3 linked regions of the Drosophila melanogaster genome follow. The protein of the gene in region 1 purifies or fractionates together with the protein of each later gene. This does not show direct contact. Each region holds a gene or a part of one and is shown on either strand. Other genes may lie near its edges.

The links.
Region 2: the proteins of Sf3a2 (region 1) and Prp31 purify together in Drosophila melanogaster (affinity purification with western blotting; one study listed by BioGRID). This does not show direct contact.
Region 3: the proteins of Sf3a2 (region 1) and Ndc80 purify together in Drosophila melanogaster (affinity purification with western blotting; one study listed by BioGRID). This does not show direct contact.

Annotation. Positions count from the first base shown.
Region 1 is NT_037436.4:12,812,430-12,815,912, forward strand, and holds Sf3a2 (splicing factor 3a subunit 2), read right to left. Parts: upstream 1,591-3,483; 5' UTR 1,479-1,590; coding exon 684-1,478; 3' UTR 599-683; downstream 1-598. Other genes in the region: Sap130 (Sin3A-associated protein 130), read left to right, coding at 1-21, 80-187, 251-400; CG42588 (uncharacterized protein), read left to right, coding at 2,103-2,451.
Region 2 is NT_037436.4:15,157,566-15,161,786, reverse strand, and holds Prp31 (Pre-mRNA processing factor 31), read right to left. Parts: upstream 2,688-4,221; 5' UTR 2,618-2,687; coding exon 2,519-2,617; intron 2,463-2,518; coding exon 2,011-2,462; intron 1,949-2,010; coding exon 1,330-1,948; intron 1,271-1,329; coding exon 935-1,270; 3' UTR 824-934; coding exon of another isoform or gene 688-823; 3' UTR 649-687; downstream 1-648. Other genes in the region: CG7011 (uncharacterized protein), read left to right, coding at 415-622, 688-823; Msh6, read left to right, coding at 3,300-4,221.
Region 3 is NC_004354.4:13,609,142-13,613,818, forward strand, and holds Ndc80 (Ndc80), read right to left. Parts: upstream 2,922-4,677; 5' UTR 2,825-2,921; coding exon 2,739-2,824; intron 2,677-2,738; coding exon 2,617-2,676; intron 2,555-2,616; coding exon 2,170-2,554; intron 2,102-2,169; coding exon 605-2,101; 3' UTR 530-604; downstream 1-529.

The sequences.
Region 1 (3,483 bases):
CGCTCGCAAATGGAGGACTTGGTAAGCAATGGGCACGAAAGTATTGGTAGGCTACTTTGACTGAACTGATTTCTTACAGAATGAATCGGAAGTCTTTAGTCTGGGCAGGCTGGAGACCATGCTGCAGGATCTCGAAAAGGACAAGGAGAAGCACAGCGAAATTGAGCGAGTCACTGAACTGCTAAAGGTGCGCTCTTATACTTATATCCATTATGCTTGAATCTCAACATAAAACCAATTTACTTTGCAGGGAAACATTCAACGCAGCAAGATTATTACCGATGGCATCAACGAGGCACAGAATCAGTTAATGAAGATCTTCGAGCATAAGCCACACGTTTCTAATATAATCACCCGCTGCGCTTCGAAAAGGAATTTCAAGAAGCGCGAAAAGATCTAAAAGTAATTGACGAACGGAGATGGCCAGCCAAGTGTGTATTAATAAGTTGTACATTACCTAATTTAAGCAGAAATTATAGAATCCAAGATAATTACCTTAAACGCGATCGATTTGTAAGTCGTACAGCTACAAAGAAAACCAGCAATATTTTTTCAATTTATTAAGCTAGAAACACAAATACAAAAACCCTCGAGTTGTATTAAGTAGAAAATTGTTTATTATTTGAATATTTCTGTGGTAATCGGCTTGCGTTTGGAGAAATCCCGTAAACATTGTCGATGAATTAGTTGTTTGAAAGCATGGGTGGCGGTGGATGAACGCCATTGAACATGGGATGCATAGCAGGACGTGGCGGTCCCGGCATGGGGAATCCGCCTGGGGGGCCTAGTGCCCTATGTAGATTCGGCGGCGGTGGCGGCAGGATCTTAGGTTCGAACTTGAAGGCGAACTGAAGGAAGAACTGCTTGGTGTCACGGTTCCAGTGCGTCCAGAACTTGCCCTCACTCTTCTCCACTTCGCGGGACGGCACCTTGAACCCTATGGTCTCGTACGGCTCGGCGGCAAAGAGAAGGTACTGCCACTTGCGGTCTGGCGGCTCGATCTTTTGCTCGTAGGCGGACATGAAGCGGTGACGCGGAACAATGGACTCCGTGATTTCCGGGTAGTCCACCTGAAAGAGCAACGACTGCTGGCCGTTGCTGAGTTCACGCTGCTTGGTCACCCGGTAGCCGGGTCGTCCAATCTTGACGAACTTCTTCGGTTCCACGCGGGGCTTCTCGGGCGCCAGCAGCGAAGAGGGTGCCTCCTTTGCCTCCTTGGCGGCTCTTCTTGCCAGATTATCCTGATGCTTCTTGCCCTGCGTGTGGGCCAAATAGCTGCCCTCGTTGTTGTGCAGCGTCAGGCAGAGTTTGCACTCGTAGGAGCCCAGATGGTTCTTCATGAAGTACGGATCCTTGTTCAGATCGATTGTCTCCAGGGCCAGTTGACGCAGTCGCTCCTTGCGGTCGCGGTTCGTCTCCGACCAGGAGGCTACGCCTCCGCTGCCGGTCTTGCCGCCGGCGCGGTTTTGGAAGTCCATTTTGTAAACTTTATTTTAGTTTTCAACCGCACGAAGGAAAAACGTTTTGCGTTGGTAAAATTTCATGAAAATTTGTTGTACAGAACAGGGTTGTCAAGAAACGCCAATTCGGTTAGGGGTGGTAGTTTATCAGAGTCAATCGATAGTTCGTGTGCAGGATTAAAGTATTAAATAAATAATAGAATGTTTCATAAATCCATTAAAATTCTTAATGATAGTCAAATTTTTGCAAACTGTAATATACATAAAATAACTTATATATTCCTTTTGCGATGTTTTTTTAAAGAATTACATATAATATTTTGGTATATTTTCGTTCCGAAGCTTTGAGAATATTTTACTTTTTCAAAGCGGTCACACTATTAATTCGAGCTGCACATGCTTGATCTTTTTTAGAATTTAAAAAGTGAAAAATGTCTAGACAGCGATCTAAACTAAAGTAAACTAGTGTTGGTGACAAGTACTAGGCCTCGAAAAGCGTGTTTTATTTAAATGTCACTGCGTGGATTACGTCGGACTTGAGAAAAATCGAAGCAACGAGTGTTTAAGAATTTCGATTTCTGTCGTCATTTTCGTGGAATAAACAGTGCCAGTGTCTTATGCGATTTTTAAAGTAACCGCGAAATGGACAACTCCAGCAAACAGGTCATCATGGGTCCACCGGCGCCAATGACCACCACTTCTAATCAACCGAAGCCCGGTAATCCCACCAGCGCCCCTCCTCCACACGCCACCAAAACTGCTGCAGCTCCGCCCAAGCGAATAATTAAGAAGATTCAGCTGGATTTCAACAAGCTCAAGGAGGCTGGACTCGATAGGCAGCTGGCCGAGGTGCTTAGGAAGCAGAAGCTGGATGCCAAGAGGGTGGACGCCCCATCGTCCACCAGTCTTTCCACCTCTGCCGCAGCGCAGTCGACGCCAACTGCGCCAGAGAGCAAATTGCAGTCGCCACAACAACAATTGCGTCAGCCTGGTAATGCATACTTGTATATATATATATTTGCTTTAAGCTGTGCATCGCCCAAAAAACCGTTACAAACCCAGGGGTTTTGTACCAAGTGATACGAAAATCGTCTAAATGCTTCTACGAGTTTTGGGCACAGTACCGAAAACCAAAACGATGGTGCAACTGATTGAGACGCCGACAGATTGTCAAAGAGTTAGTTTTTGTATTAATTGTTCTGAGTTCGTCTCGCAGTGAGTGCGGCGCCTTCACTTTCTTTTCGTGTATCTCGATATATTTTATTTTTTACGTATTTCGAATGGCAACCTAAAATAATTTTTTTTAGTTTAAAAAAGTCTATTTTTGTTAAAAATTCAGGTCTATAGGTTAGAAATATTAGGATGGCTAACCATCTGTATCTGTATCTGAACATCTACAATATGTTCACTTGTCAAACAGGACGTTATTATTTCCAAAACATACTGCCAATAAAATTTATATTGAATAACATAATTTGGTATTTAATTATTTAAAACGATCGATATTTTAATAAGCCAAGAGAATCACATGTTTTACAAGGATATTTTATGTATATTTTAATATTCTTTTAATAAATAAATTTAAAAAACCAAAAAAAAATTAATTCGGGACATTTAGATTAGTTGGTACTTTTCTTTGAAATGAGATGAAATATACTGCTAATACTAGAACACTTCAATATTTTTGTCGTTGTTGTTAAATGTAACACAAAAAGTTTTTAACGAAAACTTTTTTTTAAATTTTAACAATTGAATAATGAGTTTAATCAATAATCATTTAATTTTTGTTGTTGTGTGATAGAGTACTAACTACGTAAAGCCATAAATTATGAAAATTTAATTGGTCAAAAGCAAATAAAATTTTACACTTAATTGTAAAATAGGGATAATGAGCTTAATTCATAAATATGATACCCTTGAAAGGGTAAATATTTTTTTTGACTACTCGTCTGGCAAACTAGATTCAAGACCCACTCGTGCCACAACAATTCGTACTCTTTCGGTGGTTCAATCGTCAAGTGCG
Region 2 (4,221 bases), 2.3 Mb from region 1:
AAATTATAGAAGGGTTGCCACTTTGTTTTTCGCTCGGCTTGCCTCGTTCTAGAGAAAGCCGATAGGGGGCGGTAGCTAAAAAGCGGGTGCTTTAAAATCAATTTATATTCTTTATTTATTAATATTATTAAAAAGCATACTTAAGACTGAAATAAAAAAAAACTAAGTTATTTAAGCACAGGCATCCATTTTAATTTATATTTTACTCCTCGAAGAATTTCTGGGAAACTTCGGAGGTCTGTTGTGTGGGGCATTTTCATTTTTTAAATTGGAAAAAATATACTCATTTGTTCGAATTGTGAAATACCTGTTTTTAGAAGCATGAAGTTTAATTCGTAATTACCTTACCAAATTAAATACATTTATCAACGACAAATGAAGTAAACTAGAAAATCTGCTCTCCTCTTTTTGCAGAAACCAAAAGTGAAATGTTCAATTACTATTTAAAAATTGTTCCCACATTATATATGCGAGGAAACAGCGACGGCGAGCCCATATACACGAATCAATTCTCCGTCACGCGATACCGAAAAGATCTTTCAGATCGCGAGCGCGGAATGCCGGGGATATTCTTCAGCTACGAGCTCTCGCCACTGATGGTGAAATATGCGGAGAGACACAGGTCAGTAAGCCACAAAGCTAATGGTTAATTTTACAAGTTTTATTGGTTGTGTTGTGTATTCCCAGCTCATTTGGCCACTTCGCCACGAATTGCTGTTCCATCATCGGAGGCGTGTTCACGGTGGCCGGCATTCTCGCCGTGCTGCTGAACAACTCGTGGGAGGCCATTCAACGGAAACTGGAAGTCGGCAAGCTCAGCTAACAACAATTCGAATCTCTTATGCAGCTTTACTACGCCTAACTCAATATACATTCGACAAATCTCCAAATAAAAGTGCTTAATTTTATAGAAAATAAGGATAGAGCTGTTCTCTTAAGTGGTCCGCTGTCCCACTGACATGAATCCGGATGTGTTTGAAAAGTATTTGGCATTGGCCTCCGTCTGCGAACGCTCCGCCGCCTGCGGATTCACAATCTCTAGACCTTGCAGTGGCGTAAAGGCCACACTGGATGCCGTTCCGGAGATTTGGCGTTTGACCGTGGTGTTGCCGCCGTACACCTGCTGTTTCTGCAGATTCTTGTGCAACGTTTTGCTAATGCGCACCTTGGTCTTCTCATCCACCTGGGGCAATCGGATGCGGCCGGTGCCAGTTTTGCCGATGGTGCCGCGTGAATAGCCCAGATCTCCTTGGTAGGCATCCTCTTCGATCTGAAAGAAAAGTTCAAAGATTAATACATAACCATTATATTTTTAAGCCAGAAACTTACGTCTCCGAAATTCATGCGGTTCGCTTGCTTGCGGAACTCTGTCAGCGCATATCGTTCCTTCATCTTGCGCACGCGTTTGCCTCCTCGCTTCTTCTTGCTTCCCTCGATGGGTTTGGGCAGCGGCTTTATGAACTTCACCGGCGGCGGCTCCTGCAGCTTGTCCAGCTTCTTTTCCACATCCTCCTTGAAGCGCAGTCCAATCTCCCCGTGGACACTCTCATGACAGGCATCAACACGAGCAGCCAGCACGGACTTGGCGGCCACCAAGCGAGCTGCCTTGCGTCGCAGATCTGGCGCAGTATCCTGCACAATCTGTGAGTAGTACACATAGCCAGTGTGCGGCAACATCTGCGTTTGTGAGAAGCCCGAGAGGGTTTTCTTTTGTGCACCCAACACCTGAACATTGCAGGCCGGCATTTTGGATAATTTGGAAAGGCCACCAGCAATGCCCAAGAGTTTAGCCGCCGTCGATGCTCCAACAATCATGGAAAGATTTGGGGCTATGAAGGTCATGCGACTTTCCACATACTCGTAGATCTTGGACTTGAAGTTATTCAGTTCGATGGCCATTTCGCAGGCCTCGTCGATCTTTGCCTTCTCCGCCGGTGTCAGCATGGTTCTGCGAAAGGGAATGGGATTCAGTGACATGTTATTTTGGGTTACACCGTTCAAATAACTTACCCCTGTGTGGTGGACGCCGTGACTGACACAATCATAATGGTGGCCTGCGTGAGAATAGCCTGCAGCTTCTCGTTATTTTTGACCTGGTCCAGGTCGTTGCCCAGCTCCTTGACCGCCAGCAAGTACTCGATTTCACCCACGATCAGGGAGTCCAATTCGGGGAATCGCTTCTGATACTTCTCCTTGGTGAACTTGTGCACAATGGAGATCTCGTTGTCAATGTCCACAGCTATGGCATTAGCGTCCACGATGAGGCAGTACTCTGGATCGGATTCTACGGATCCCAGCATTTCGGCTGCAGTTCTCTGGCGACTGGCATAGTGCTCGATCTGCTGCAGCGTGTTCTTCAGGCGCTCAGAGTCGCGCAGCTTGCACAGTTCCCGCACCGACTGCACGGTTACATCCACGTCCATCAGATTGGGAGCCGGCTTAGCCAGCTTCTCCGCCAGCAACTGTTTTGTGGGAGGGGAATCATTAGGTCTGATCAACATTTGCTTTGGTTCCTTACGCTCTCGTCCTCTGCACTGGCCATCTCCGAATCCTCCTCCTCCAGCTCATTGTCATTGTCTTCCTCGAGATCGGCTAAAAGCTCATCGGCTAGCGACATTTTGGCTTATTTCAAAAGTTTATTTTGCGATCTCGTGAAATTAAGTTTGTTTTGGAATTGAAGTGACCGTTGCTCAGCCGCCTTAGAATACCATGCGGTTCATTGAAAAAATACTAAGTATTAGCATGAAATATATAGGGTATTCATTTAAAGAATACCATAAGGCTATTCCACTGGATTTTAATTGATCAATTTGACCAAATTCAATAAACATTTCATGAACAGAACGATCCAATATCATAACTCTTGTTATTATTCTGGAAAGTTTCGATTTTCCTGCTTAATTAGAATTCTGTATCTAAAAGTAAAGGAATTGAAAATATGGTTGAAAATATAAGGTTGATGAAAATATAGGTATGGCTATCAATTGTTTTGCTTAATTCTTAACTATCACTCTTTATTTATTTTGGGACAACAAAGCCTAGATAAACACAGATCAAAAATGAAAAAAAATGACTTATTATATAAGAAGCATCAAATTGTAACGAAAAAATAAAATCTCCTCAGTGGTATTCGAAAATTCCAACGGGCACGAGTTCCCTAAATATACTAAATAGTCAAGCTACTATTTCGGTATTATTAAGCCACAATTTGACAGAATATTTTTTGGTTTTGGCGCACAATCGCAGCGTCTGCATCCTGGTTTTTTGAGTAACCTGGCAGACGTTTCTAGGCCATTGTCATGTCCAAGAAGTTAAACACCAGCGTGGGCGGGACGCCCACAAACACGCTACTAAATTACTTTTCCAAGTCGCCAGCTTTCGACAAAAAGAAATTGACTCCTAGCGTGAAAACAGATCCCGATGCATCCAAGAGCGAAAAGGAGAATCTCCAGAACCAGCAGCCAAAAGTGAAGGATGGTAAGAAAGAGGCTTCCAAGCCGGCGGCCAAGAGGAAGTTGCCCATTTCCGACGATGAGCCGGCCAGTGGTCAACGCAAGCGGAAGCGCATCGTTCAGCCGGAATCGGACAGTGAGCCGGAAATGGAGGTAACCAAGTCGGAGGACGACTTCTCCGATTGCGCCTCCGACTACGAACCGGATGAGAATGAAGCCAGCGATGATAGCGTTAGCAGCGGCGCGGAGGAGGTGTCGCCTAGCGAGAACGACATGTCCGTGGACAGTCCGACACCCAAGAAATCGCGCAAAAAGTCTAAGATTCTGAATAACAACAATAACAATGAGCCATCGAGCAAGAAGGTCAAGCTAGAGTCGACCATCCAGTTGGCCGAGGGTGCAACCTTTCAAGAAAAGCTGAAGAACCTGCAGAGCAATGCCAAGCAGGATGCTTCCTACGATGATATCGTGACCAACACGTCCAATCTGGATGAGCCCGTTGTTTGGCCGCACCAGAAACTAGAGTTCCTGCAACCGGACAAGATCAAGGACAAGGAGGGAAGACGTCCAGATCATCCGGACTACGATAAGAGCACCTTGCATGTGCCGGAGAAGTTCCTCAATGGCCTGTCGCCGGGAGTTCGACAGTGGTGGGTCCTTAAGTCGGACAACTATGACTGCGTCTTGTTTTTTAAAGTCGGCAAGTTCTATGAACTGTATCACATGGATGCGGATGTGGGCGTCAACGAGCTGGGCTTCACTTACATGC
Region 3 (4,677 bases), on another chromosome or scaffold:
ATTGAAATAATACCTCATTTTCGTTTATTTTAAGCCCAAAAATGACAAAATATATATCTACGAATACGAAAAAAGCGCACACAAATGAAATATCCAAATTAATTAATTTAATAGCAATAAATGCAAACGTTTCCCTGCAACTTTTTTGTGGCACAAGTCAATCGCACGCTAAACTACACAAAATTGGCCAAATGATAATATTATTTAATATTTATAGATACCTACGCTTAAGTTACCCTTGCCGTATTTACCCACCACTCAGTGTATACATATGTATAACCATGTAAAGCTAAACCGTTCCAAGTGCAATTTGTAATCCCAAAAAAGGCAGCGGAGATCCGTAATGAAATCCGTAATACGTGTGGCAATAAAGAACTTAAGAAATCTGATATTATGGAGTATCATCCCCTCCTTTGTCCAGGAACCGCTGTGTTCAACTCAATTTACCTAATTCAAATGTAATCAAAAATAAATGCATTTCATAAAACATAAAACATTGAACATTGCAGACAGCTTCATTGTCTTTTTTAATTTGAAAACAAAGAATACTCTTTAATAAATTCCTTACAGATCAACTGGACTACAACAAAACATCCGGATCAAATCAATGATTCTTGATGGCATCTAGCACGGGCTGAAAGGATGGCAGCTTGGCGGAGTACACCTTTTGCTCCACCTCGTTCAGCTTGGCCTGAGTCGCGTTGACCTTTGATTCCACGGCGAGCAGCTGGTCCTCCGCTTTGGCCAGCTTCTGCTCGCATTTTTCCAGGCGATCTTGGCGGGCCTTGAGATCCTGCTCCTGAAACTGCTCAGCAGCGGTGAGTAGATCCTCGTTCCGTTGCTTGCTGGCTTCCAGCTTTTCCAGCGCCTGCTTCTCCCTCTTCTCCAACTCATCCAGACGGGCGGTCTGGTCGTACTGATCCTCGAGCAGCTGTTGCCTGTGCTGCGCCTGCATGTCGCGCTTGGTCCGATAACTGGCCTCCATTTTGGTCAGACGCTGTTTCTGCGCCCGCAACTGAGAGTCCATGGTGGCGATTTCGGTGTCTAACTCGATGGAATCAGACTTTACCTTGGCCACCTGCTTGTCCAACATCTGACGCCGATCGATATTCTGCTGGCGGTGCTGTTGCAGAAGTTTGCCCAGCAACTCCAGGCACTGCACCCTCTCCGAGATGTCCTCTTGATTGGGATTTAGTGGCAGAGTAAGGTCCGATTGCTGGCCAATGCCGCTCTTTATCAGGCCACAAATCACCGGGTCCATGCTCAGGTGGCGCACGTGCGAGTTAAAGACCTCAACGGAATCCAGTTGCTTTTGCTTGGCGCGCGACAGCATCACCTGCTGATGCAGCTCCAGCTCGGACACCTCCTTCACCTGGCGCTCATAAGCCTTGGAGTAGTTTTCCATATCGTCGCACTTCATTTGAAGCTCCTTTAGCTGCTGGGCGGAGAACTTCTGCCTGTTAACCGCCTGCTCCAGACGCTTTTCATACTTCATTTGCTGGCGGAGATTAGACTGTTTTTCTTCTACCTGGGCAGACAGCTGTTCGTATAACTTCAGTTTCTTGATCAGCTCCTCTTCACTGGCAGCTAGCTGTTGGGCAAGCTGATCGTGCTCTTTGGTAAGACGTTCCAGTTTGTTCAGTTTATTGTCTTCACTGGGATCATGCAACTTATTCTCCAGTTGCTGTAGTTTCGTCTTCAGATCGCCGATTAGCTGGTCTAAGGCTTTGCGATCGGGCAAATCACACTTCTTGCTGATCACCTGATCCCTGGTCTCCGCCTGCAGCTTGGCCTCCTCATTGGTAAGCTCCTGATCCCACAAGGCAATGCATTTGCTAGCCTCTTCGAAGAGCAGACCATTGACGTCTTCATCTAGCTGAATGGCGTGCGCCTGTGTGGTGGACATGATGGTCGTCGACTCGCAGTGCATGCTATTCAGATACGAGCTGGGCTGCTCCATGGTTTCCATAAACGGAAACTCCTCCTCCACCACATCCGACGAGGGCAGAGGCGGTAAAAAGTCCATGAGAAAGTCCAGCAGAACGATCACATGGCCGAATGAATGCTGTGTTGTTGGCGATACAAGCCATGATTTGTTCACCTGCAAGTCACAAGTGGATTTAAGAATTAAACGAACACTGGAAACCTAAGAGCATCCGAGTTGCTTACCTGATAAGGATACTGTAGCTTTTGCATTGCGCTGGTAATATCCTCGACATGGTTCTGGCCCACTGTCACGCGATTTCGCCAGATGTGGTGGAACATAAAGTTGAGAATGGAAACAAATTGCTTGATGGTCATGTGTCGCAAACCCCCGGGCCGACTGAATAGATCCGCAATAAGTCCAGTGGGCGCCTCGCTGTTCTGAATGCCATGTAGGTATTCCAGGATCTGCTGTGCCCTCTCCGCCACCCATTTCTTGTCGGAGTGTGGCGCAATGGCGCGCTCCGCAGTGGAGGGCACAAACCGGTGGCCTCGCTTGGGCGTCACGCCCATTTGACTGGCCCGATCGCGCTCCAAGTTCAGCGGCTGCGGCAGACGCGATGCGGACGGCCTATGCGGATTGGATTCAAACATTACTGGTTGTGCCTTCGATAATCAAATGGTTGTGCATACCTTCTGGGTGCCGCCTGGCTGGAGGACGGAGTGTGCGTGGCTGCGCTCCGCTTTGTTGCCCTGGAAAAGGATACGCATTTGCATCGTTGACAAGATTTGATCAGTTGGATTTCGATGCTCACCTGGTTTGCCGCTTATCGGCAGTGCCTCGCTCCTCCAGTACATCGCCACGGAACTCGCTGGTCCGCCGGGGCATCAGGTGCGACATCTTGGCGTTATTGAAACTACGTTGATTAAATTAAATGTTTACTCAGTTTGATTGGGAATCGCGCGTCGTTTAACGCCTGTTATCGGCAAATCGATAGTTTCCAGGGATGCAGTCGCGATTGACACCCTAGTGTTACTAAACCATCTGGCAGCACTGCCAAATAAAAAGTGCGCCATTTACTTAAAAATTCTGATTACTTTAGGATCATGCCACCAAAACGGAACAAAAAAGCAGAGGTACGATTGAAATACTACATTATTTCAATAGCTAAATGCATTTCCAAACGATTCTACAGGCGCCAATCGCTGAGCGGGATGCAGGCGAAGAGCTGGATCCCAATGCGCCGGTGCTCTACGTAGAGCACTGCCGATCCTGACGAGTCTTTCGTCGTCGAGCGGAGGAGCTGCACTCCGCTCTCCGGGAGCGTGGTCTCCAACAGCTTCAGCTCCAGCTGAATGCACTTGGAGCACCACGGCGAGGAGCCTTCGAGTTAAGTTTGAGCGCCGGCGGAATGGGAAAGCAGGAGCAGGTGGCACTTTGGTCGGGTCTAAAGCGGGGTCCACCACGTGCTCGCAAGTTTCCCACTGTGGAGGAGGTATACGATCGGATTGTAGGGATTCTAGGTGACCAGCAGGAGTCCAAGGAACAGATCAACACGCAGAAGTTATCTAAAATTGATTTACCGGGGTCCGAGGCTCTAGCATCGCCAAAGAAGTCGGAGTCCACAGAGGAAGCACAGGAAAACGAGGTAGGGAAGGCCCAATAAGTCCAGAAAAAATTAACTAAATATTGTTTTTATCAAAAACGAAGGCACCAACTTCAACTTCAACTTCGCGTAAATCCAAAAAGGAACAGAAATCCGAGGAAGAGCCAACTCAAGTCGATTCAAAGGAAGCGAAGCAATCCAAAGAGTTGGTCAAAACGAAGAGACAACCGAAAGCCCAAAAGAAGCAGGCAAAGGCATCCGAATCCCAAGAAGAAGTTGCCGAAGATAAGCCCCCTAGCAGCCAGAAACGGAAGCGGACCACCAGATCCTCCACAGACGAGGCTACTGCCGGTGCCAAGCGGAGGAGGTAGTTGTGCCCAAAACAAAGCGTTCAGCAATAGAGCCCTATGATCGATGATTGGCAAATCCTCTCGAGGAACCGATCGTTGAGAACCCCTTTGCCTTTGTTGATCGCTCAATTTTGGATCAAAAACTACATACATGAAAAATACTCGAGCATTGTTATTACAAAATATATTAAAACATCTTAGAAACCTATTTCCATTTTTGTTTTTTTTTTTCATTCTCTTGTGGTTCATTTTTGTCTGATTTTTTGCCTCTCATTCGTTAAAATTTTGTGGACTTTGATTTTTCTTCCAAAATGTACATGTTTTCCTTTTTTGATCTTATTTCAATTTTGTCCCTTCTTAGTTAGTTAAAATTTGTTTTCGTTTTTAGCTCAGCTTAATAATTATGATCCTAGAGAAAAAATTTTGGTTTTACGAAATTGTTTTTACTTTTAGCTTCTTCTAATGCTAGAGATACCCTACCACTTGCCTAAATAGATTACAATCTGAATTGTCTCTTTTTTAACTAAAATTTTGGTTAAATAAAAAAAATTGAATATAATATGTGGGGAGGGGTGGGGAGCTAGGTGAAATAGTATTAAGAACATGCAGCAACAGAAACCGAGAGATTGCGATTAGGTGGAGAGCCAGTCCAAAAGGTGGACTTGCCTTAAGTAGAGTCGCAAATACAATGCATGCAAGTATGTATATATATATATATGTATATAATGTCTGTACACCCATATATATAATGTACAATATAATGCAATGGTCTGGCGAACTGCTCTAAGCAAAACTTC